Linked DNA regions of Caenorhabditis elegans. The protein of the gene in region 1 interacts with the protein of each later gene in a pairwise test. Each region holds a gene or a part of one and is shown in the gene's direction. Other genes may lie near its edges.

Region 1 (6,703 bases):
CAGCGTTGCAGAAAAACCACCGATCCCCATGATTTTCAGAGCGTACAAAGATTAGGTTTTTTGAAAAAAAAAGAAATAAAATTTCCCAAAATTTTTCCCAATTTTCAGAACCAATTCACGAGTTGACAATGTGCGTGGGGCCGTTCTACGGTGCCGATAGAAAATGGCTCCAGCTTGTGGAATTTGTGGAGCACATGCGGATATTTGTACGTGAAACATGGTGCATCGAATTTGACGCGCAACTTTCAGGAAGTATCAATGTTCTTCTTTACTGTATTCGATATGGATGCGTATTCCCGTCTGGCGTTGGATGAATACGAGCGGCAGGGGATCGCCGAGACTACAGTAATCCAGACAGAGTATGAGCAACTCGATTGGATGTTCCACTTGCTGCAGCTTCATGTGAGTTGATGGAAGGAGTACTGTAGGGTTACTGTAGGGTTACTGTATTATCCTGAATTCAAATCGAAAATGTTGGTTTTTTTTTTGATTTTGTCGATTTTCCAATGTCTCAAAAAAAACACGATTTTTCAAAAAAGGGCGGGCGGCAAACTGTTTTGTCGACAAATTCGGCAAATTGGCAAATTGCCGGTCTGCCGGAAATTTTCAATTCCGGCATATTGCCGATTTGCCGATTTGCCGGAAGTGTTTAGAATAATTTTTTATAAGACGGAAACAATTCAAACTGTGCTTTTTTGAAATTTTTTTCCCGTTTTGTTTAGATATTTTTATAGAATTCACATACTTTTCCAAATAGATTTAGGAACATTCATAGAAAGCGCACAATTTTGCCAATTAAAATTGAAATTCTGAAATTTCGAAAAAATGTGCAAAACCACAATTTGCCGGAAATTTTCGGCAATTGCCGTTTTTCTGTCAAATTCGGCAAATCTGCAAATTGCCGGTTTGCCGATTTGCTGAAAGTTTTCAATTCCGGCAATATGCCGATTTGCCAAAAATTTCAATTCCGGCAATATGCCGATTTGCCGGGAAAATTATTTGCCGCCCACCCCTGATCCAAGAATTAATTTTTTTTTGATTTTTGAAAATGCTCAACTTTTTTCCTTTTTAGGACTGTTTCCATCGCAGCAAATACATCTCAAGATGGGTCATAAATGCAGATATTGACGAGCGATTCGTGATGTTTCAGCCAGAAACTACCCTTATTCAACTCCTTCGGTCCCAGGATGCAAATGTTGGGGAGCTGAATTTTCAGGTAAAATTTTCACATATTAGTAGAATATGACACAACGAAAATGGCGCGCAAAAATTCAAAAATTAGAGGGCGGAGTCAAACCGCAAATCTGCGGCGCGCAATTTTTCGAATAAAATTTGACTATCTTGCCACGGGGTTCTGGCCTTCCTCATTGAATTTTTCGCGCTCCATTGACAATCGCCTGCCGGACAACGCGTGGGAAAGTGTCGTGTACTCCACACGGACAAATGCCATTAGTTTTACAACAAAAATCGAGCCGCGACGCGACACGCAACGCGCCGTAAATCTACCCCAGATATGGCCGAGCCAAAATGGCCTAGTTCGGCAAACTCTTCCATTTCAATTTAAGAGAAAAGCCAGAAATCCATTTCAGGCGCGACGGATTCAAAAAACCGAAAACTCACCGCAGAAATTCACCAATCTGCAAGACACCATCGAAAACCTGGAGGCGCTGAAATTCCGGAACACTACTAGAACTCAAATCTGGGAATCTTCAAAAAGTATATACCGCCCGGAAATGGTCGCCGTACAAACCTACCATCACACTCATCTACAGTATCCCGGCGTTATCGTGAAAAATGTTCCCAGGGAGACTGCCGGGTTTAGGTAGGTTTTACACATACGTGAAAGTTTGCGATTTTTGGACCAAAATATGGTACTCGGTCTCGACACGAAAATGTTTTGTTTAATACTAAAAGGTGTGTGCCTTTAATGGGTACTGTAATTGCAAACTTTTGTTGCAGTGGAATTTTCTTTCGATTGTTTTCTGCAGAATAATATTTTTTATCGAAGAACTATGAAGAGCCCACCAACGTACAGTACTCCTTAAAGGCGCACACCTCTTCGAAAATACAAATTATCGTGTCGAGACCAGATATCGTATTTTTAGCTCAAAAATCACAAAGTTTCGCGTGTGTATAATAACACGGTCATATGTAAATTCAAGCAGCAGCTCGTGTACTTCTCGAGGAGAAGTGTGCATTTGTTTTTTGCAGAGATTTTTGAATTTTTACTGAAATTCTTGCCGATTTTTGTGTATTATTTTTGAAAATAGTGAGCATTTTAGACTGAATTTTCTAATTTTTTAGTGTTTTAGGCGGAAATTCTGTAGAAAAAATTACCGAAAATGGCCAAAAATCAGGAAATTTTTGCCAAAAAACGCACACTTGTCCTCGAGGAGTACACGAGCCGCGTAAATCGACACTGACATTTTCAGACACTACCGAATGACCTCCGTCAGAAATAGTATCGGAAATGGTTGGATTTACGGCGACAACTTCACTATAACCGAGCTGGATAGGGAGCTGGAGAAGCTTCTGGTGCATAAAGTTGCTAATATGGCTGAGCATATTTATGGGTCTTGAAATGAAGAAATTGCAGTAACTTACTGTACCGGTTTTGTATTCCTTTTTTTTCATGTCGAAATAAATCAAATCACAAAGTAGCGCCAGTGGGAAAATTGCTTTAAAACATGCCTATAGTGTCACAATGGCCAAATATCATAGTAAAAAAATTCAATTTTTTTTTCTAAATTTTATATGACTTTTTGAAAATTGGAAAAATCTCAGTTTTGCCCGAACTGCAATTTGAATTACCGCCAAGAGAATTCGTTCGATGGAGCGCGCTTGCACGTTTTTATTTTTATTTAAAATTAAATATTTATTGTTATTTTCACTCATTTTTCACCGATTTTTCATGTTTTCAGTGTATTTTTTTTTTGAAATATAAAGAAAAAATTAAGATAAATTCAAATAATCGATTGAAAACCTACTTTACAAGCGTAGAAACAAAGAAGTAACACTTTTAAACGACGTCGACCCTGAATTAATTAATTTTACAGATTTTTTTCGTTTAAAAATATTATTTATTAATTATATGATTAATGTGATTAGTGAGAAGCTTTTTTAGTCTACTATCCTTGCAAAAATTTTGTAGGTCAGTAAAAAAATTCTTTTTTCTTCTACACTCAAAATAATAAAACTGCGTTGCGTGTACGACCAAATAGGCCCCGCCTTTTAATCGTCCACTCACGGGAAAAAGGCAAAAATATGGGAGGGGGGGGACAGCTCGCCACGCCAACAGTGAGAAAAATAGTGTGGTGCGCGGACCTCGAATGATGTCGGCTGCTGATATTGGCTACACCAGCCGCTTTTTGCCTTTTCCCCGTGAGTGAACGAGAAAAAGGCGGGGCCTATTTTGGCGTACACGCAACGCAGTTTTATTATTTTGAGTGTAAATTGATGTAAAATTCTAAAATTTTTCTTCAAAATGTCCTCTTCTTTCAGAAAATCAGCTTCATGGATACTTCCGATCACAAGCCCCTTATCGACCGCTTCGAAACGGAATTCGCTGAAAAATCGTCACTGCTTCGCAAAGAAGAAAGCGAGCTTAAGCGGCCGGATCTCAGAGGTGAGTTTTATTTTATTTTTTTTTGTAATTAAAAAAAAACATTAATTTTTCCATTTTTCAGGCGATTTCCTCTGCTTGTCCTGCGGCCAAAACTTCAAGCACGGCGCTTCTCTCAACCGCCATCGTAAACTGGTGCATAGCGACGAGTACACCTGCATGCTGTGCGCCCGTAAGCTCTACCTGAAGGAGACCGTCCGTGATCACATGAGAAATGAGCACTACTTGGGTCAAGTATACACCTGCGGATGCTGTAACTGGACGTTTTCCAACAAAAAAGCCCTCACCGAACACGCAAAGGCCATACAGGAAACCGGAGCTCCAGGAGACGCCAACCCGATTGCGAAATCCGGCAATTCACCGGGATCACTGCTGAAATCGCCAATTCAAAGAGCCGGCTTCAAGCTTAATCGTCTTTTGAACAAGTCTCTGTCGCCGTCGACTTCCAATTCAACAACGTCCTCATCTTCCCGCGACGCTTCAGGATCGCCCCAACCGGAGCTGGAGCTGAAGCTGGAGCCAGAGCCAGAGCCAGAGCCCAATGAAGAAGCTCTCGAGTACAAAAGATTCTTCAACAATGCAGTCGACACAATTCTACAGAGAAATTTTTTCACCGATCAGCAGATCACTGAAGTCGACACATGGGTCATAATCATCGAAAGTGCGAATGCTCTTGCGACGGCGCTTCAGAGCTACAAGAAAGCTCAGCAGGTAGCTAATTAAAACATTTTTTTTAAAGATAAATTTTCAAAAAATAATTTTTCAGATCCAGCCAGCCGAGCCAGCCATGATCCCAGAAAAGCGCATCAAGCCGGAAATTGAGTAATCGTTGATGTTCGAGTGTCTTCATTATGTTTATAGTTCTACCTCACTGCTCACTTTTTGATTTTCATGTTATGTTAATTTACATTTTCAATTTTCGATAAGCTTTAATACATTATTTTGATTAAAAAAAAGATCCAATTACTGATAGCATCCAATCTCATCACTAAAGAATGCATCACTCGCCCAATGGAATGTGATTGGAAACATGGGCGGCCCGGAGTGATACGTGGCATCTGAATGGGTACACGGCATCGCTTCTCGTTGTGAAAGCTCACAATCAAAAGCATTTACACACGTGGATTCTGCAGAAAGAAGGCCGGCGTCTCGAATGTGATAAAATGATTGATTATAGCACTGGAATACGATGTTCGTATAAAAATCATCTTTGGGCAGAGAGGAGGTTAAGCTGGTGAATTCTGGCTGGGAAATTGTGCTGAAATTTTTTAAAATTTGAACTTTTGAAATTGTGGTTCCCGGTCCTGACACGACACATTTTTGTTGAATGCAAGTGTGTGCCTTTAATGAGTACTGTAACTTTAAACTCGGGTTGCTGCGTAAGGTATGAAATATCGATAAAAAAACCAGAGTTTTTGAAAATACAGTACTCTTCAAAGGCGCACACCGCATTTACAAAAACTGGTCGTGTCGAGACCGGGTACCGTGTTTTTCTTTGTTAAAATTTGCGAAAACTCGCGTATGGCTTATAAAAAGTGGTTTTTTTTCTAAATTTTTTTCACAATGATTTGAGTTTTGTCACGTATTGGCGGCGGAATTAGCACGGATTTCTGGCTTCCCTCATAAATTGAAATGGAAGAGTTTTCCGAACTAGGCCATTTTGACTCGGCCATATCTGGGGTTGATTTACGGCGCGTTGCGTGTCGCGTCGCGGCTCGTTTTTAGTTGTAAAACTAAATGTATTTGTCCGTGTGGAGTAAACGACTTTCCCACGCGTTGTCCGGCAGGCGATTGTCAATGGAGCGCGAAAAATTCAACGAGGAAGGCCCCGTGAACTAGGTATGTCGAAAAAATGAATATCTAATTTGAATTTTTTTCACCAATTTAGGTTTGAAAATTATCAAAAATTATTTTTTAAAAATGCATGAATACACGTAAAAATTGGCTGAAAATGTTTGCACTTACGATTCTGCCGCTAATACCCAACGAGACCCAAATTATGAGGCTGAGCACATTATCTTGCGTGCTCATATTATTACAGGAACACTGAATTCTGAGAATGCGTATTGCGCAACATATTTGACGAGCAAAATATCTCGAAGCGAAAACTACAGTAATTATTTAAATGAATACTGTATCGCTGTTGTCGATTTACGGGCTCGTTCTTCGTATTATTTTCTCAATCTTTTGCATAACTTTAATATTCCAAAAATAAATGATTTCATTTCGTAAATCGAGCCGGCAGCCCGTAAATCGACACAACCATAATAACACGTGGTGCCAGAGTGTCTCATTTTGGCTTGATCTACTTAGCTCTACAAAAATTGCGGCAGAGTTTTCAACTGCTTTCGCATGGTTAAGAACGTGCTGACGTCTCATTTTTGGGCAAAAATTTCCCGCATTTTTTGTAGATCAAACCGTGATGGGACAGCCTGGCACCACGTGTAAGAAGTAATAGGTCTAAAAATTCAAACCTCAAAAAATCCTCATCGATCTCCTTCAAATGTCTTTCACTAATCAACTCAGTAATATTATCTCCTGGATTAATCGGTATAACTCCTTCCCGAACATTACTTGAGTTTACGAAAACCATGTGTTTCAAATGAAATATTCCATTATTATATATGTACTTCATTTTTCGATAAATAGGTTTCCTCTGCTTTTTTGTCAAATAAATTGGACGATCATCCGAGTTAAGTGAATAATGAGACCACGTAGAATTCAATCTCTCCGGGCGGAAGAACGACTTTCCTTCGTCTTTTGTTTTCAGTCGTTTTGAATTTTTAATCATTGAACTTATGTTTAGAGTCTTCTTAGAGTCCAGTACCGAAGTTTTTATAGTTTTATAGTCAAATTTGTCATAGTGAAGTGCACTAATCTCCCAGCTTCCGGCATATTCTCTCTCGAACTCCTCGTAGTAAGAGTTGGCATTTGTTGGAATAAGTATATCATCCATGTCAAGAACTCCAATAAAGCTTACAGCCTCCTTATACATGAGAATACAATCAGTGTGCGCAGCCGCCTGATTTCTGAGCTCCACGTTACGATTTGGCTCCAAATATGGTTCATCTGTGGTAGAGA
Region 2 (8,095 bases), on another chromosome or scaffold:
TCGTTTCACTTTCAATTTCATATTTTATAAGGAATTAGGAGTTTTTTTTTTTGAAATGTTCATTTTCACTGGTGCAAATACATAATCTTAATTTTTTTTTTCTTTTGCTTTAACTACGTTAATGGGAGATGAAAAGAAAATTTTAGATACATTTTAGAAATTGCGACAATTTTCATTTTCTCAAATTTCTCTGTTTCAAGATCACTATTTATACTGTTGTGAGTTACGTAGTTTGGTTGTGTCTTTTTTTTTTGAAATTTAGAAACGTCATATTAATTTTTCAATGGCAATTTTTAATTATTGAAAAAGTTCCAATATATTACTCTAGTGTTCCTTGATAGTTGAAGGCATATTTAAATTTAGTCAAAACAATTTTTTAATTGCACTGCAAACAAATTACGCAACATTGAAAAGTTGCATTTTAACATGTTTCCTCCATAAAAATCTAACAGTTTCGAAGTATTAATATATTTTCGATTTTTTAACAGTCAGTCAATAGTTCGTTATTTCTCAACTTCAAAATTGCCTTCAAAATTGTATTTTATTTTGAAAATTTTTTTAAATGTTTCAATTTTTCTTAAAACTTTTCTAAAAAGTTCATAATTCGTTAATTTGCCCGTTTGAGTATTAACCGGTACATTGCGAAAATTTTAAATCTTTGATAAAAAAACACGCCCTTAAACACATTTCAAACTATTTTTTGACAGTCAAAGTTTTCTTGAAGTTGAAAAATAGTGATAATTTATTTTTTCATAGTTTCGATGGGGCACTTAGTGGGCGGAGCCTATAAAGCCTTGCCCATGTTATAGGCGAAGTTGGAGACCCTTCACTGTGGCCATTCTGTGGAAAATTGAACAATTAATTCTTCAAATTAGTTGGGCGCGGCTATCAAATTTTGAAAAAAAAATTGAAAAAAATTACTGTTTCAAAGTCACATGTTATACTGTAGCATTATGTGGTTGCTATTCCTGTTACTAATTTCAATTGAAATATTTTGTTCTTTTCAATTTCTGGTCATTATGAAAGATAATAGACAGACAAAACAAAAAGAAGGTCCTTCTAATCTAGAAAAATACGACAAAAAAGAGAACATTGAGCCTTGTCAGCAAAGAAGTAAGGGAGAGGCGAGAATGGGAAAATGCGATTTAGGAGAGAAGGAGAAATTATACAATTATTTCAGAAAAGAAGAAGCACAAAAAGAGTGAGACAGACACAAAATGGGGGTGCAGATGGCAAAAAACAACACCAATCTCTGTACAGGAAGAATGAGGAAATGGAACAAAGTTTTTTGTCGGCGGCGCGGGATTTCTCGAATTTTAAATGGGTATTCGGATGTAAAATGATGAGAAAGAGAAAGAAGAACGGAAATTCAATTTACGCATCCGATGAAAATAACAATTTTCAAATTTTGGTTATAGTATTAATGGGTGCCCAGACAATTTTGAGGCTAATTTTTTTATACAGTGTCATGAATTGTAGAACTTTCGTCTGAAATTTCTTTTAAAAATTTGAAAAAATTCAAAAAAACAGGCTCCGCCTTTCTTCCACTTATCTTTTTTTCGATGGATTTTTTCGACTTTTTTTGTACTTTTTTTTAAACATATTTCTGCAATGCCGTGGAGTTAACTGTATATTTTCCGCTAAATCCATTTAATGAAAAATAGTTTTTACATTTTTAAGAACAGTGTGATTACAGTAGTGGTTTTGTACACTTGTTGCGAACTAATTTAGCGTTTAAGGGAATAAAATACCTATTCTTAATTTAAAACATTTCAAAGCATATCCATTAATGCTGTGCTGCTTGGCATTTTAAGAAAAAAATGAAACCGAAAAAAAATTAAACACGGATTCATGAAAATCGATTCTCATGTCGTTTTTTTTTTTGAAAAACTCAAGCAAATTTCTACAATTTCACTCAACGAAAATTTATTAAAAAATTATATTTGTTCCAGTGACGTCATGAAGAACACTATCTAGCGCACGGCACTTTTTGAGCGGAGCCTATGGTTCCCAAGAGGTCCCGCTCCAACAACTTTGTGCAACATTTATAGACCCCGGGAAAAATTTGAATTAAGGGGTAATCCTTTTTTCATTTTTATTTTCATAATTGTGAGCGGATTGTTGGTAAAGCTGCTGTGAAATAGGCGGCTCAAATCGTTAAAGTCAAATTTTAAAAATATTTGAAAGATTTGGAGAAGAAAGTCAATATTCTACCCGCGACGTTTTTTTTGTTTGAAGAACCACTAAACATAAATATGCCCTAGCGTTAAGGAAGTCTATCAAAACTATCAATACTATAGTATACTGTAGTTACAAGGATATTGAAACAGTTAAAGATTTACATCACTAAAACTAATTTCATATCACTTTTGCAGTATCTTGTTTCAACTTAGTATTTATGATTTCTCATTTTTATTATTTAGACTGGTAAGCAGAGAGAAAAAAGCTGGGAATTAGGAAAAAGTAACAACATGAGCAGAGGAAGAAGAAGAGCAACAAGAGCATTAGACAGAATTAGTGATGATGTAGAAGGTACAAGATGAAAAATAGCAAAAAAATAAGTAGAGAATAAAATCAAAACTTTTTCATTTTTCGGTTTTTGGACTACTTTAGAAACTGTAAACAGAGGAAACAGTGGTTTTGTTGGACGTTAAAAACATTTGAATATTTCACATTTAAAATTCCGTTGCAATCAGTTTGAATTTAAAATACATTTAATTTCTAGCTATGTTGAAACTGTGAAATTTTCGGAAAATGCGAAAAAAATGTGACGGATTTTTAAATATTTTATCTAAATCTTCACCGGATAATTTTGGAAATAATACGTTTAGAGGTCGAGCATGATCCCGATTAAAATTAATTAATTGTTAACTGTTTTATGGACTATTTGAAACGTGTTCAATTTGAAAAATGGCATTCATTCTTTCCATCAAACTCATAGTTATTTTTCAGATCTGAAAAAATATCAGAGCCTATTTATCTCGATTGAAAACATTTCTGCCTTTTATAGCTTGATTTTAAGGGTTTGTTGAAACAGTGATATTTTTTTGAAAATAAATGAAAACATTTTCTTGAGTAAGACCTCTCCAGCTATCTTTGGATACTGAATAAATCAGATCTCATACACCAAAAAGCCGATAACTAAAAATATAAATATTATTTCCAGAAGTTTATCACGGAGAATCTTCGATTCCTGACATTAAAATCGAAAGCATTTTCCATTAAAAACTAATATTTTTGCACTCTTCACCTTCTTCCGGCATGTAATCCTATATTACAGACATCCAAGGTAAAAGAGAAAAAACTTGATTTCCTTTTTTCCCTTTTTCTCCAGAAACGTCTTCCAATGTCGTCTTCTTCCTGGACACATTATGCTAATTTATTCGATTTGTGCCATGGTTAATGTATTAGGAAGAAGGAAGAGCATTACGCTATGAACAAAACGCTTTTTTTCGCCACGTGATTTGCGGTTTTGCAGGAGATGGGGGATTCTATTGTTGAAACTAACAAATCCTGAAACTCATAAAATTTTAGTGAATTCATGAATCTGTAAAAATTCTGAATTCTAACAATAATGAAAAGACTTTACAGAGATAAATAAAAACCGAATGAAACATTTAAAATCAGTCAAACAAATGTTTTCTATGAAACAGGAAATTTAATTCTAAAAAAAAAAAAGGATTTTTTTACTCGTACAGTCCAAAGTACTGTAACTGTTCTTAAAATTGACCCCAATTGTAATTTAATATCAATTTGTCCACTATATTTGCTACCTTCTCTTCCAAATCATGAAAGTGACCTCTGACTATATATCACCCCAGTTTGTCACCAACCATCTGGCAAGTAGCGGCAGCCGGCTTATCTGTTATGTCGGAAGATGTGCTTCTTCTCCGACTTGTTAAGATATCTGACACCTAGGATTGTATATTTCCCCCAAATGACCTTCGACAGTACCCGAGAAGTTATAAACAATTTGTGCTCCACCCAAAGTTTGGAATAGAAAATCCTATAGTCACTTTCTGACACTCTCTGACTTTATTCCTCCCAGCTTCCAAATTACAAAATGGAAAAATGCGATATTTGTCACCAGAAGTTTTCCAATAAGGTGAGTGGAGAGTACTAAAGGTTATAGGTAGAAACTAAAGTGCCTACCAGGTTACTTATGGTTTCGTAAACTACTTTCTTGTTTGGCTCTTGAAAAACTGAGACGCAAGACTCAAATCTTTAGAAAATTTCTTTTTAATTATCAATTTACAACATTGTTCAAATCGAAAAGCAACAAAAAACAAGTTACTAAAATCGTAGAAAAATTTTGATTTCCATGTATATTTTTTCAGACAAACTTGAATCGTCATAAGGTGATGCACAGTGGAAAAAAGAAGTTTGAATGTCAGTTCTGCAGAAGACCTTTTTTTCGGAATGATCGGGTTAGTTCTTGTGGTTTTCCGATAAATTTGTATAGAGGATATTTTATTGAAGTTTCTTTATAAAGTTTAGTCGTTTTAGTACAAGCTTTATCTCTAGTGACCAAAAAAATTCACTAAGTAACCTACTTTACGAAAGTTAATTACTTGAAATTATTCCAAACGCTTACAAATAACTCGATTTTTTTGTCGAAACGTTAAAAAAAATGCTAGAAAAAAGCTTCCTAAAAGTTGACTCAATTTATCACTCGTACATCAGATTTAAAGCAGAATGAAACAATCTGTGTTATTGATTTTCAGAAATTGACACAAAAATTTTAATTATGTGTTTCATGATGTTTTTAATAATCACTGAATGCAATTTACGATTACTGGTATCTGTGATTTGCGAATCTGTTCAAAAATAAATGTTTAATGCCAAAGCACTAAAAAATTAAAAGAGAATTAGCACCCAGCATGCCAAATGATGTAGGGGAATTATTTTTCTGTGGATGTGTACTGATACGTTGGCTTTAATTTACTGTTAGCTAGAGAAAATTTAAAAGCTTTGTTTTAAATATTTTTATTGAAAACAAAGTTAAGATTGTTAAAAGTCGTTTACTTTTTCCAGATCTGACCATCAGTTTTTTATATGAAAGTTTCAGTTATGCAAGAAAAGTTGTATTTTCAAATATACTTTGAGAAAGATCGAGCTTTCTAGTAGTATAAAGCATTAAGCATTATTTCTTGAAACATTAAACAGATTAGAAAACAATCTCTTCAACTTTTAATCCAACTCAGATGAAAGAGCACATGATGACCCATATCAAGAAAGGAAATACCTTTGAATGTCCCATCACAGCGTGCAATTCAAAGTTCAACAGCTTCACGAGTTTGCAGTTTCATGTAGATTCGGAGCATATCATAAGAGGATCGTCTCCAGCTAAATGTAAATCTTGCATCAAATGGTTCAACAGTTCCCATCGTCTTCTGCTTCATTTTCATACTGCACACCTGGATCATACGGTGAGTACTTTTTTCTGTGGAAGAATTGAAGCACACACTGTTTTTATTTGGATTTTACATCAGCTACTTGCTTACGAGTAGGTTATAGCTGTGATGTGTTAAGTTTAGCCTACGTTTGATCCGATTCTTGCCGAATGTTGACTAAACTTTTCATTTGAGACTAAAAGTAAAATTTTGAAAACCGTTGGGTCTTGCAATCGAAAATACTTGAAAGCTTCAAAACATTAGAAAAATTGATCTAAAATAGAATTCACTATACTCGAACTTCTCCACATAATTGAATTGAATTTCAAAATACTTTTTCGCTATTTCTACAAAATCTCTACTAAAGTCAGACGTGCACTATGTATAGATTGGATTTTGGTAGATATATATAAATCTCCTTAGTTTTCAGAAATTCTTCTCTTTCAAACCTGCTCCAATTCTTCCAAAATCCACTACTTCAATCTTGAACCCCATCAAGAATCCAGATGATTTTGATAGAATCTTTGACTTTTTCAAAACTGAAATCGCACCACTCTTTGTAAGAAATTTGAAATTGAATTTTCAACTGGTAACATAATATTTTCAGCCGCTTCATAGCACTGTTTCACAAGCCCCATTGCCACAGTGCTCTAGATCTGTAAAATCCGCAAAAGAGTTGTCTCCAACACCATCTACGGAAATCGAAACTCCCGAAGAAGAAGAGTTGGATGGTCCAGAGAGCTGGGTATGTACCTCTGGGAAAAAACGTATTTTGTAAAAAAACAATTATTTCAGTACTGCGATTACTGTAAAATCAGATTCGATGACAAAGTGATGTGGTATTTGCACAGTGGACTCCACTCAGATGATATTCCGTTCAAATGCTCACTTTGTGGAAGCCTATGCGATGGAAAATATGATTTTGCTGCTCATCTCGTTTACGCCAATCATAACTTCTAAAATATAAAAATGTCGATTCTTTTTCAAAGTTATAGCATGGTTCAATTTATTGTTAAGTACCAGCATCAATCTTATCAATAATGTTCCTCATCTTCTGTTGGGATGTTTTAAAATACTTAACTCTGTTCTTGTGTGAATTAATTGTTACATTTGTTTCTGTTAATTGTTTTATATATTTGAAAGTTAGAAATATGATTTTCTCAATTATGGTAGTTGATTTTATTTCTGAAAACTTCAAAAGATTTACTAAAAATTATTGATATGCGAATTTTGCAAAAGTTATGCTGATTATTTTTATCTTCAGGAGAGCAGTTTTAAGGAGGAAATGCCAAGAGTTTTAGATTAAGAAATTTCAAATTTCTACCAACAGATTTTAAAACATTACTCCTGATTTTAGGACAATGAAGATTTTCGCATTTTAAAAGCCTAATTAAAAAAAAACGGCGAGATCAATTTTTCTAGTATAAAATGCTCCTCTGAAGATAATTTTCACAAAGTGTCCAATTAAAAAAGTCATCTCTAGGAGTGATAACACTTTGAATTTCCGAGATTTATTGAAAACTTTATTACATCTCCAACATTAATAATAAAACAAATTAAGAAAAAAGTATTTTACAGTTTTCTAAAGTTTGATGTATTTATAGAGTTTTGCTCTTGAAATATTATTCACAATTTTGCCTCTTTTATAAAAATATCAACAAAAAAATTCTCAAAATTCTCAAGCTAATATCCCATCTGAGACATGAAAAAAGTGATCTTAAGCACGATTCGATTGTCTCCAAACCCTTTGTTCATCATTTTCGTTCAATTATAATAGTACACATACAGTAGGAGGTAGTGGCGAAATAAGGCAATCGAGAGGAAGGATCACAAGTGTGCAAACGATGCTCTCAACTCGGGTGCTCAAATTCGCACATCTCGAGTGTCTGCGTCTCTTCATCTCGCACGCTCTTTCGGCGCTTCTCTTACCAAATACAGTGCTTGAGGTGCGAAATATAGAGAACATAGACGTCTTCTTCTTCTTGTCTTTATTTTGGGCTCCCGGGTAGCTCCTCCTATTTTCAATTGTTTCTGTTTCACTCATTGAATTTCAATAATAATAATAAGTTCCGTTTTCACCGGATCTCAAACTCTCTTCTTAAAATGAGAATTAATTTATTTTTCGTTTTTGCCGTGTTAGGTCAGCAATTTCAAGTCACTTTTACATATTTTTGGAACGAAGAACCAGTTGTCAGAGAGAGGTGAGTTTATTTTGATTAAAAATGATCAATTTTCAAATAATTTCACTAAATATCAAATTGTTGAAACTGTACATTTTGTATTTAGGTTTTTTTGAATGAGTAACATTTTTAAAAAGTTTATGCGAGTGTCACTTTTTTTCCATGTTTTCAAAGAAAATCAACGAACTTGAGAAACCCTCCTTTCAAGAGCAATTTCAAATTTTCAGTGCATCTGTGCATCCCCTACTATTTTTCAAAAATTACAATAATAATATGGATATCTTGAAAGAAAAAATTCAAACTCAAAAAATTTTCCATAATTAATTGATACAACTAAACTTTCTAGTTGATTCTTAACACAGAGCACCTGACTGCTGACACATAATAACGAAAGAAAGTTAAAGCATGTGATATATCACATAGTGAATAACTAGATATATAAAATTCTTGATACTGTGCATTTTTATTAATTTTTTCTCTCTTTTTTTGAGATGATTTCAAATAATTTCAAATAATTCAAAG
Region 3 (8,074 bases), on another chromosome or scaffold:
ATGCGAAGTTTTAGGAAAGATACAAAAATTTCCGCGAAAAAGGGGTCAGAGTTTTTTATTTAGAGCAAGAATGCTACTACGCAACTAACTATAAGAGGTTGAAAATTAAATGTCGAACATTTCTATTTTGGGTAGCAGGGGAAAACATTAATATGCCATAGTCACTAGGTAGGTGAAACGACCCTCTGGAATAGAGAAATTATTGCAGACCTGAACAGGTCTGACGTAGAAATGTCTAGAGCATCCAAGTAGTATTCCACCAAAAAATGTACATATACTTCCTGACAATTTTTGGAAAATTCTGACGACAGAAACACTACAATTTTTTCTCGATTCTTTATCTTTTAATCATTTTGGTCACACTTGAGCAGTTTTTTAACATCATTTCATTGAGTGGACATGTGTATTTGACAATTGATAATAGTGGGACTAACAATCAGAAAACTACGTAGCATTTTCAGAAGTATGTTGTTTTGTTCAAGTTAGGACAAAAGACCTTAGATTTCAATCAAGCAAATGGCAATCCATTCAATTTCAGATCATGTCCCGTAACCACAACGGAGGACCACGTGGATGCCACAACGCCAACACCTTGGCTTACTGGAACGGAGTTAAAAGCTGCTGTGGATGCTCTTAATTTTCAATTTTATCAAAATAAGAATATATATGAATCAATAAAGCTTATTTAAAATCAAAGTAGAAAGGATATCAAACTTGTTTATAAGCTTTTCAAAACATAGGTTGCGAAAAAATGCGAACGTTTTGAAAAATAATTGAGTAGGCGAAGAGGTCAGTGGGTTTAAAATGATGTCAGAGTGAACAATTTATGAGAACAAGCATATCGTTTTCTAAATTTGTAAAGGTCTAAGTAGACCACCATCTATGTCATAGGTTGTATCTTAAAATAAGTTGACCCGTTTTATGATCTAGTTTTATATTCTTTTTGCCTCTGGTGAGAATAAACAAGGCTTTCAATTTGTCTGCTCGATGATGCATGATGTTTACGATACTTTCGGATTAAAATAATCGTGAGATGGATTTGCACGAAAAGGTTGCGGAACGAACAGCTCGAATGATATTAAATGATAATCTCGAATTGTCAACAAAGTACATTATGAAGTGATAGGAACTGTTGTTCGCAGACCTGAGATGTTTTGAAAACTTGATTTTAAAACCTACGCAACCGGAAAATTAAAGATCACAAGATTTCTGTGAGGATCATAACGGGTGTAGGTAGCAACTTTATCTCGGTGTTTCCACATTTCTATTTCAGGCTTAAAAACAAAGTTGGTCTTTTTCGTTCTCAAGTTGAGCTCAAGACAGAAGTTGGGAAAAATATCATTTTCAGATTACCAGCAAACTTTTCAAAACAGAGCAGAAAGAAGAAAACTGATCATTCGTGATAAAATATTTAGTCTCCCGAGGATGAAAAGTTTAAGGAAGTTAACTTTTTTATCTGTTGTTAATAACCTATTTTTTAGATTGAGTATTCAACATATGTTAAAAAAAATGTTTTCACTTCAAAATTTGGAAGAAAATTAGGTACTTTTCCGATTTTTGCCCCCCAAAATATGTTTTACTCAATATTTCAATTTAAATTCACACGTGAATGTTTATTTTAATACTATTTCAAATTTTTAGGCTTAGAAAAAACAATACTAAGCCTGAAATTACAAAAAAGTTCACGTTTCATTAATGAAAATATCGAAACATTTTGGGGGGGCAGAAATCGGAAAAGTACCGAAAATTAACTTAATTAACTTGATAAGTTCAAAACTTGTCTGAATAAAGTAAAAAAACCAAAGATTTTTAAAAGTTATAAAGTGATGCTTTTTGATTATCTATCGTATCCAAACAGGTGGTCAGACAAAACAAACGACACCTCGTGAGAATATCCAGACAGCTAACAAGTGACTGTGAAACAAGGAAAAACTTCAGAACACATATTAACTGAAAAAAAAAACACTTAATTTTTCTTACTTTTCTCTATTTTGTTCTCAATTGATATCATCTCTTTGCCGCTGGTTTTTCTTGCTCTGACTCTGAGCAAGATTTTTATTGGCACGTGAAAAAATTGCATCATTTCAGGGCACCACTGAGCGTGGTCCTGTAGCATGTGACCAACAAAAATTACGAAAAGAAATTAAAAATTTGTTTACTTGAAATTGTTGTAAGTTATAAAAAAGTTCCCTACTCTTGATAAGAACGTCTTATGGAATTCGATATGGATTTTTTTTAATTATGTGTACATTTTTTTACCTAGATTTAGAATTTGAGCCGCGTTAGGGGGGGCTTTTGTGTAAAATTGATTTTTTACAGACGTACAAATCTGTACGAAAAAACCAAAAACAAAAATAGTAATAAGACGACTTGTATACGCGAAACGATAGAATAATTTTGCAAACAAAAATTCTCAGCTTCTGAAATTCTAAAAAAAACGAGTTCTCGCGTGTATTTCTCTCGAGCAATCACTTGATTTATTTTTTGATTGTTCAAACGTTTTTATTTTTCCCTTTATTTTAAACTGAATTATAACAACAATAATTAGTAATTCATAAAAACAATTTGAACTGAATACTAGCTCAACAACATCTGTAATTAGTGGAAATTTCTGTTTTAGCGACATAGTAATTTATAACAACGAGTGTTGTTCCGTTTTAAGTTGTATGACTTTTAAAAGTTGACAACATGCAAAAAAAGATTAATAACCATTTTTATAGTGCTGAAAAGACTAAATGTCTTGATAAAACTTCTCAAAATACTTTTGAATTTTTTTGAGATAAAAAAGGGTTAATTATTGTTTAACTACTTACAGTGTTAAAATAAGAATATTTTGAACACAAATGTAAAATTGAAGAAATAATTGTTTGTTTTATGTGAAGCATCTGATGGAGTCATAACTAACTACTGTAAAGTTCAAGACGATCAAATAGTGGCCTTGCAAAACTAATGGTATTATCCTCACTTCAGCTAGCTGATCCATTTAACTGATAGTCATAAAAACATGAGCAAGTGTATGATATATTACAAAATATAAAAAATGTGCTCGCATGTTTTTCAGTTGTGAAAACATAATCCTTGATGATATTTACCGTTGAGTAATAAGCCAAGAGAAAGAACAAGTGTAATGGTTTGGCATTTTACTACACAATCAAAGTTCTACTACGATTTCGGATTCCCATGGGTACCTTGTGTGCTGTTGTACTTTCATTGTATTATCTAGTTTTTATACACAAGTTTTGAAACATCAGGTAGATATGCAACAAAAAAACTATCCAAATGCAATACTTAAATTGAGTTTCGGTGATTGGCATGTAATTGAAAAGAAATCGCAACATTTGGGGAATGGTGTTATCAGTGTACATGGTGCACTTGAGCATGGAAGAAAAAACCACTAGAACCGTTCTTTTATCAGTTGAACGTGGTTGTTCAATTATTTTTTCCGTCGCTTTCCATATCGTTTTCTCTTTGAAATTTTCCAATTTTTCCTGATTTCGTAATATATGACAATTAAAATCATCTAATGAGATTAGTGAAGTGTTTGCTATGACACAAATTTGGGTTCGGTTTCTTTTTGTGTAGAAAGGGAAAAGGAAGAGGTGTCACGTAATAAGTCAACATTTATCCTTATGAATTTGAGCGACAGAAAAGGCGGCCCAAATGACAGTAATCCAATAATAATGTTTGCTCTAACAATATCAATAACCCAAATCTACGAGCTACTAGTGGTAGTCTTACTGTACAGTTATTTTCATTTATTGAACACATTTTTGGATTTTTTAATTTTATGTATAAAATTTTTTTGTAACATTTAGTAAAACATAAAATAATAAATAAAACATTTCTATGCATATTAACAAGTAAACTTGACAGGATTTTTTTTTCAAATTCATATCTTAGTAATGATCTATAAAAAATGATGAAATTAAACTCAGTTTTTATCAAATTACACCGATGAATAGAAAAGAAAAAACCTAGACAGAATTCGTACCACCTATTTTAGTTTTTTTTTTTCGTGATTTTTCAAAATTGTATTTAGACACATCACAGCTCTGTGTTGTTGCGTTCACAACCGAGTGCATCACACCGATCTTTGAGAGATGGATAATCTTATTAAGCAGCTCCAAATGAGCGTCTCAAGTGAAAACGTCGACAGGAATTTTATTGAGTGAGTTAAAAAAAAAACTTTTGAGCAGCAAAACAGGATTTAAAAATAAATTGACCTCTATGAAAAGAACACTGTTTAATAGATGTTGGCATGACCTATTTTTCAAAAATGTACATCTAAACGGTATTAGATAGGAATAAACTTCTAAGAAAAAAAGCAAAAAAGAAGAAAAATTTAGTTGGGTTTAGGCAAATCTTGATTGTTTGATATTCTATAGTTTGAATGTTTTCATAAGTGATATAAATGACTAATACATATGATCTGCAAAACATCCAGATCAGAGATTCGTCTAGGCATCGTAAGAAGTGTAGTTTGTGATTGAAGAAAATTTATAGAAATGAGAGAACCTGATTCAGATACCGATTTTTATATTTCTTATAAACTGGGTCGGGAGGTGAATCTAAACAGGTCATCTTCCTAGAAAATTTTAGAAAAACATCAGGGAATAGGTGAGACAGTTTTCAGTTCGAGTCATCTTACAAATGATGTGACATATGAATCATAACAGTAGATGCTGATTAAGTTTACACCCCTAGAGAACTATTAGTGAAGTGATGATCATTATTTTTTGTTACCGCTGAAATAGTAAAAACTTATATTAAAAAATTGCAGAAAATGCATCGAAATGAATCCCTGTCGCCGGATGCTTCACGAAGTGCTACTTGAAAGAAAAGACATTTTACGTAAGCAAAGAATGAAAAATCAAAAAGTTATGCAGATTTAGAAAAGGTGAAGGTCACATCCGGTGGTCTTTTACAGAATCAAAAGTTTATGACTATGATATAGCGAAAAGACTCTCTAGTTTAAACAAATTGAAGTTTCAAAAATAATAAAAAAACGGAAGTATGAAATGGATCAGAAATTAACACATTTACATTTCAGGCTCTCGGATGAACTTGGTTGCGTTGTATGATACAGATGAACAATCCTCCGAAATTGAGGAAATTCTCGTGAGTGAATAAGTTTTTAAAGTTACATGAAATAGTTTGTGACATTTTTCAATTGAAAGATGAAGCTTATTCTATGTTGAAAGGATTTACACTAATACTACGGAGCTAAAATAACCATATAGTATAGTAAAAGATTCAAACGATTTTGGCAAATTTTTAATTCAAGTCAAAAAATCGTGAAATCGCTGTTTTCACAAATTTTTTGGAAGTTGTCATTCATTTAAACACCAGTTTCTTTCAGTTCTACGGTCTATGAACTATTGTGTTTGCAATTTTTATATTCCAACACTGTTTGGGTTTGAAAAAACGACACTATTTCAAATTTCTCGATAAGTGGTGCAATCTCACTTTTTGACCCGACATAAAAAATTATCAGAATTTTTTTGAGAAGATTTAGTATGATATTCGGTCATTTCAGCGCCACAAACTGGTTTAAAATTATTACCCCATTGGCTGTACTCTTTTAAAACAAATCATTAGAACTGAAAAATTAGACAAGCAACAAAAATTGTAGGCTCAATTCGAAAATCCTACATTTCCGTTGGAAGAGGTCAACACTGAGAAAGACGAGGAATGGCAACCCTTAGAAAGGAAATATTTGGACGGAATTAACCGTATAAAAGAAGACACTATCATGAAACAAATTCAACTGGACAAGGTGATATTTCATATTTTCAAAAAAACAAACTGATGCGGTAGGCGTAACAAAATTTGACATTTACTCAAGCTTGTGAGAAGCTTTAAATCCGATTTTTGATTTGTAAATACTTTTCAAATTTAATTCAGAATATTTCAGGATATGGAAAAAGCCCTGACTAATAGCGAAGAAGTACTCAGAAATCATCGCGATTTTAGACCGATCGACGAAAAGGTAAAATAATTATATTAATTTGTAGAAGAGATATCGAGATTATTATTTGAGATTAGAGAGCAAAAAAAAAATAACAAAACACAAAACTGAAGTTGAAAAGTCAGGCGAACGAATAGAAGAATAGAAAACAACCAGCTTATTAATTTGTTGTTTGTGAATTTTACACTTTTGAATGACTTTTTCTGAACAAAAGTCAGTTTTTCTGAATCCTACTGTAATCCAAAAAAAAGAAAACTAATCCATTTTGGTTTTTCTTCAATTTTTGAAACGATCGAGATCATCACTTGTTGAGATTTAACGCAAGATCAGATCAAATTTTTTTCATTATAAATTTGTTTTTTTTTAAGTTAGGATTATAATTTTACGTGCAAAATTCAATATTCACAATTTCCCGTAAAAAACAAACACAAACCATGATAAATATGTAGAAACCCGTACAAATGTCACATATAATACACAAAATATGAACTTTTTTAAATGCTAACAAAGTCAATGTGTTTTCATTAGGTCCAAATTCACGAAGATTATTGAAAATGTTTCAGGATTTCTCTAACATTCGGCAAAGCATTTCCAAAAGGTTCGAGCATTCGAAAAATAACATTCGCGGGGAGGCAGCAACTAAAATTCTAGTTCTCCGGAGGGAGATCGAGCAGCAGGGGTGAGTTTTTGGATATTCCACCATTATTACATATATTACTATCATATCTCATTACCTAACATTTTAATTTGCAAGTAGACATTACGCTAGTTGACATTAATCCGAAATTAGAATAACTTCCGTGAGACTACTTGTTCCGTCCCTTGTGAGGTCTAGGTTTTGCAAGACACTCAACATACAAAATCATAAATTCAAAAAAAAAATGATGTGGAATACGTTCTCAAATCATGTTGCTTTTTAATAAACTTCGTTGATATTCCAGACAGATGAACACTGAAATGAAAAAGTTCATCGGCTTAGGAACTAAACATCTGAAATTCGTAACAATAATAAACAATTTGAAAACTGAGACAAACTTAATTCTTCACATGATTTGGATTCATATTCAAAACAACGCAGATCACATTTTGTCGGATTTCGTTTGAAACTAACTTTAACGCATGGATCATACAAATTGTTGCTGAAACCGATTTTGTTTCAGACGCAAGCGCCGGAACTTTGACAAAAACACGACGGACATTTTGCAAAACTGGTTCCACGATCATCGTCAAAATCCTTACCCGTCCGACCAGGAAAAGGCGGAATTAGCAAAACAGTGTAATATCAAAATTTCACAGGTAAGATCAGTTGTACGATTAGAAAGGTGTGTGATGCTCAATTTTGTTTTATAAAAAACAATGTCTGAATCAGACTAAATTGAATTATGTCGGTGACGTTAAAGTCTTAAACCTCGAAAGATAGAATATCCTCGAAAAAAATATACTGAACTGATTCAGACTACACATGAAGACTTTACTATTTAAACTAGTGTATGATTATTGGCTTAAAACTAGACTATTCAGCAAAATAGACCTCTAAAAAGAGAACATATTGAAATTATCAAAAGTGGAGTTATCAATTTGGAGCTTGACGACTTGCCGCAATTATAAAATAAACTACCAAAATATGCAACAAAAAATGATAGTTTTTAAAAAATCAACTACGGACAGATACGACACAGAAAACTGGGCAAAATTCGAGATTTTAGCTAAAAACAGTGTTTTTTTTTGACATTTTGAACCGCCATAAAAAATTTTAAAATTTTTTGATCAGTTTCTCTACGGAATTTGTTCATTTGAGCCCATTTTTGGCCAATACGTTTAAAATCGTCCGATCCGTTAATCCTCCTTTAATTTACTAGAGGTCTAGAAGAGAAAAATTTAGTAATGTTTGAACATTCTCAAAAAATCCAAATCTTTCAAAACTTGTTATTGCCGTTTGAAATTTCACGAAAAGAGTCACATTTCGCTAAAATGCCTAATTTCTCCAACTCGTCTATGTCACATCGGATGAAAACCACAAGAAAAAAATTGAACTATCACTTTTCATTGCATATATTGACAGTTTATTACTTACCTTTTGAGTTGCTAGGCACTTAATTTCGGTAA

What was found. Proteins that work in one complex are often made in the same cells at the same time.
Region 2: the proteins of ztf-28 (region 1) and ehn-3 interact in a two-hybrid assay, tested with the Caenorhabditis elegans proteins (one large-scale study listed by BioGRID).
Region 3: the proteins of ztf-28 (region 1) and ceh-60 interact in a two-hybrid assay, tested with the Caenorhabditis elegans proteins (one large-scale study listed by BioGRID).

What each region holds. Positions count from the first base shown.
Region 1 is NC_003283.11:2,087,168-2,093,870, forward strand, and holds ztf-28 (C2H2-type domain-containing protein), read left to right. Parts: upstream 1-3,501; 5' UTR 3,502-3,513; coding exon 3,514-3,625; intron 3,626-3,686; coding exon 3,687-4,333; intron 4,334-4,388; coding exon 4,389-4,448; 3' UTR 4,449-4,573; downstream 4,574-6,703. Other genes in the region: gtnt-27 (Glycosyltransferase family 92 protein), read left to right, coding at 129-206, 250-402, 1,073-1,216, 1,590-1,822, 2,433-2,580; gtnt-26 (Glycosyltransferase family 92 protein), read right to left, coding at 4,586-4,880, 6,097-6,703.
Region 2 is NC_003282.8:5,415,164-5,423,258, reverse strand, and holds ehn-3 (Zinc finger protein ehn-3), read left to right. Parts: upstream 1-4,036; 5' UTR 4,037-4,063; coding exon 4,064-4,105; intron 4,106-4,337; coding exon 4,338-4,427; intron 4,428-4,796; exon of another isoform or gene 4,797-4,817; intron 4,818-5,090; exon of another isoform or gene 5,091-5,111; intron 5,112-5,204; coding exon 5,205-5,429; intron 5,430-5,772; exon of another isoform or gene 5,773-5,793; intron 5,794-5,823; coding exon 5,824-5,952; intron 5,953-6,000; coding exon 6,001-6,138; intron 6,139-6,188; coding exon 6,189-6,353; 3' UTR 6,354-6,560; downstream 6,561-8,095. Other genes in the region: spp-7 (Saposin B-type domain-containing protein), read left to right, coding at 7,497-7,594. UniProt on the Caenorhabditis elegans protein: Together with the zinc finger protein ztf-16, plays a role in gonadogenesis, specifically in somatic gonad precursor cell development. This is possibly by regulating tra-1 gene expression.
Region 3 is NC_003284.9:6,526,112-6,534,185, reverse strand, and holds the start of ceh-60 (Homeobox protein ceh-60), read left to right. Parts: upstream 1-4,039; 5' UTR 4,040-4,100; coding exon 4,101-4,168; intron 4,169-4,780; coding exon 4,781-4,851; intron 4,852-5,050; coding exon 5,051-5,118; intron 5,119-5,632; coding exon 5,633-5,776; intron 5,777-5,914; coding exon 5,915-5,989; intron 5,990-6,531; coding exon 6,532-6,647; intron 6,648-7,128; coding exon 7,129-7,264; intron 7,265-8,074. Other genes in the region: ilys-5 (lysozyme), read left to right, coding at 539-637. UniProt on the Caenorhabditis elegans protein: Probable transcription regulator which binds to DNA, repressing genes involved in longevity and stress, while activating genes involved in reproduction, such as the vitellogenins.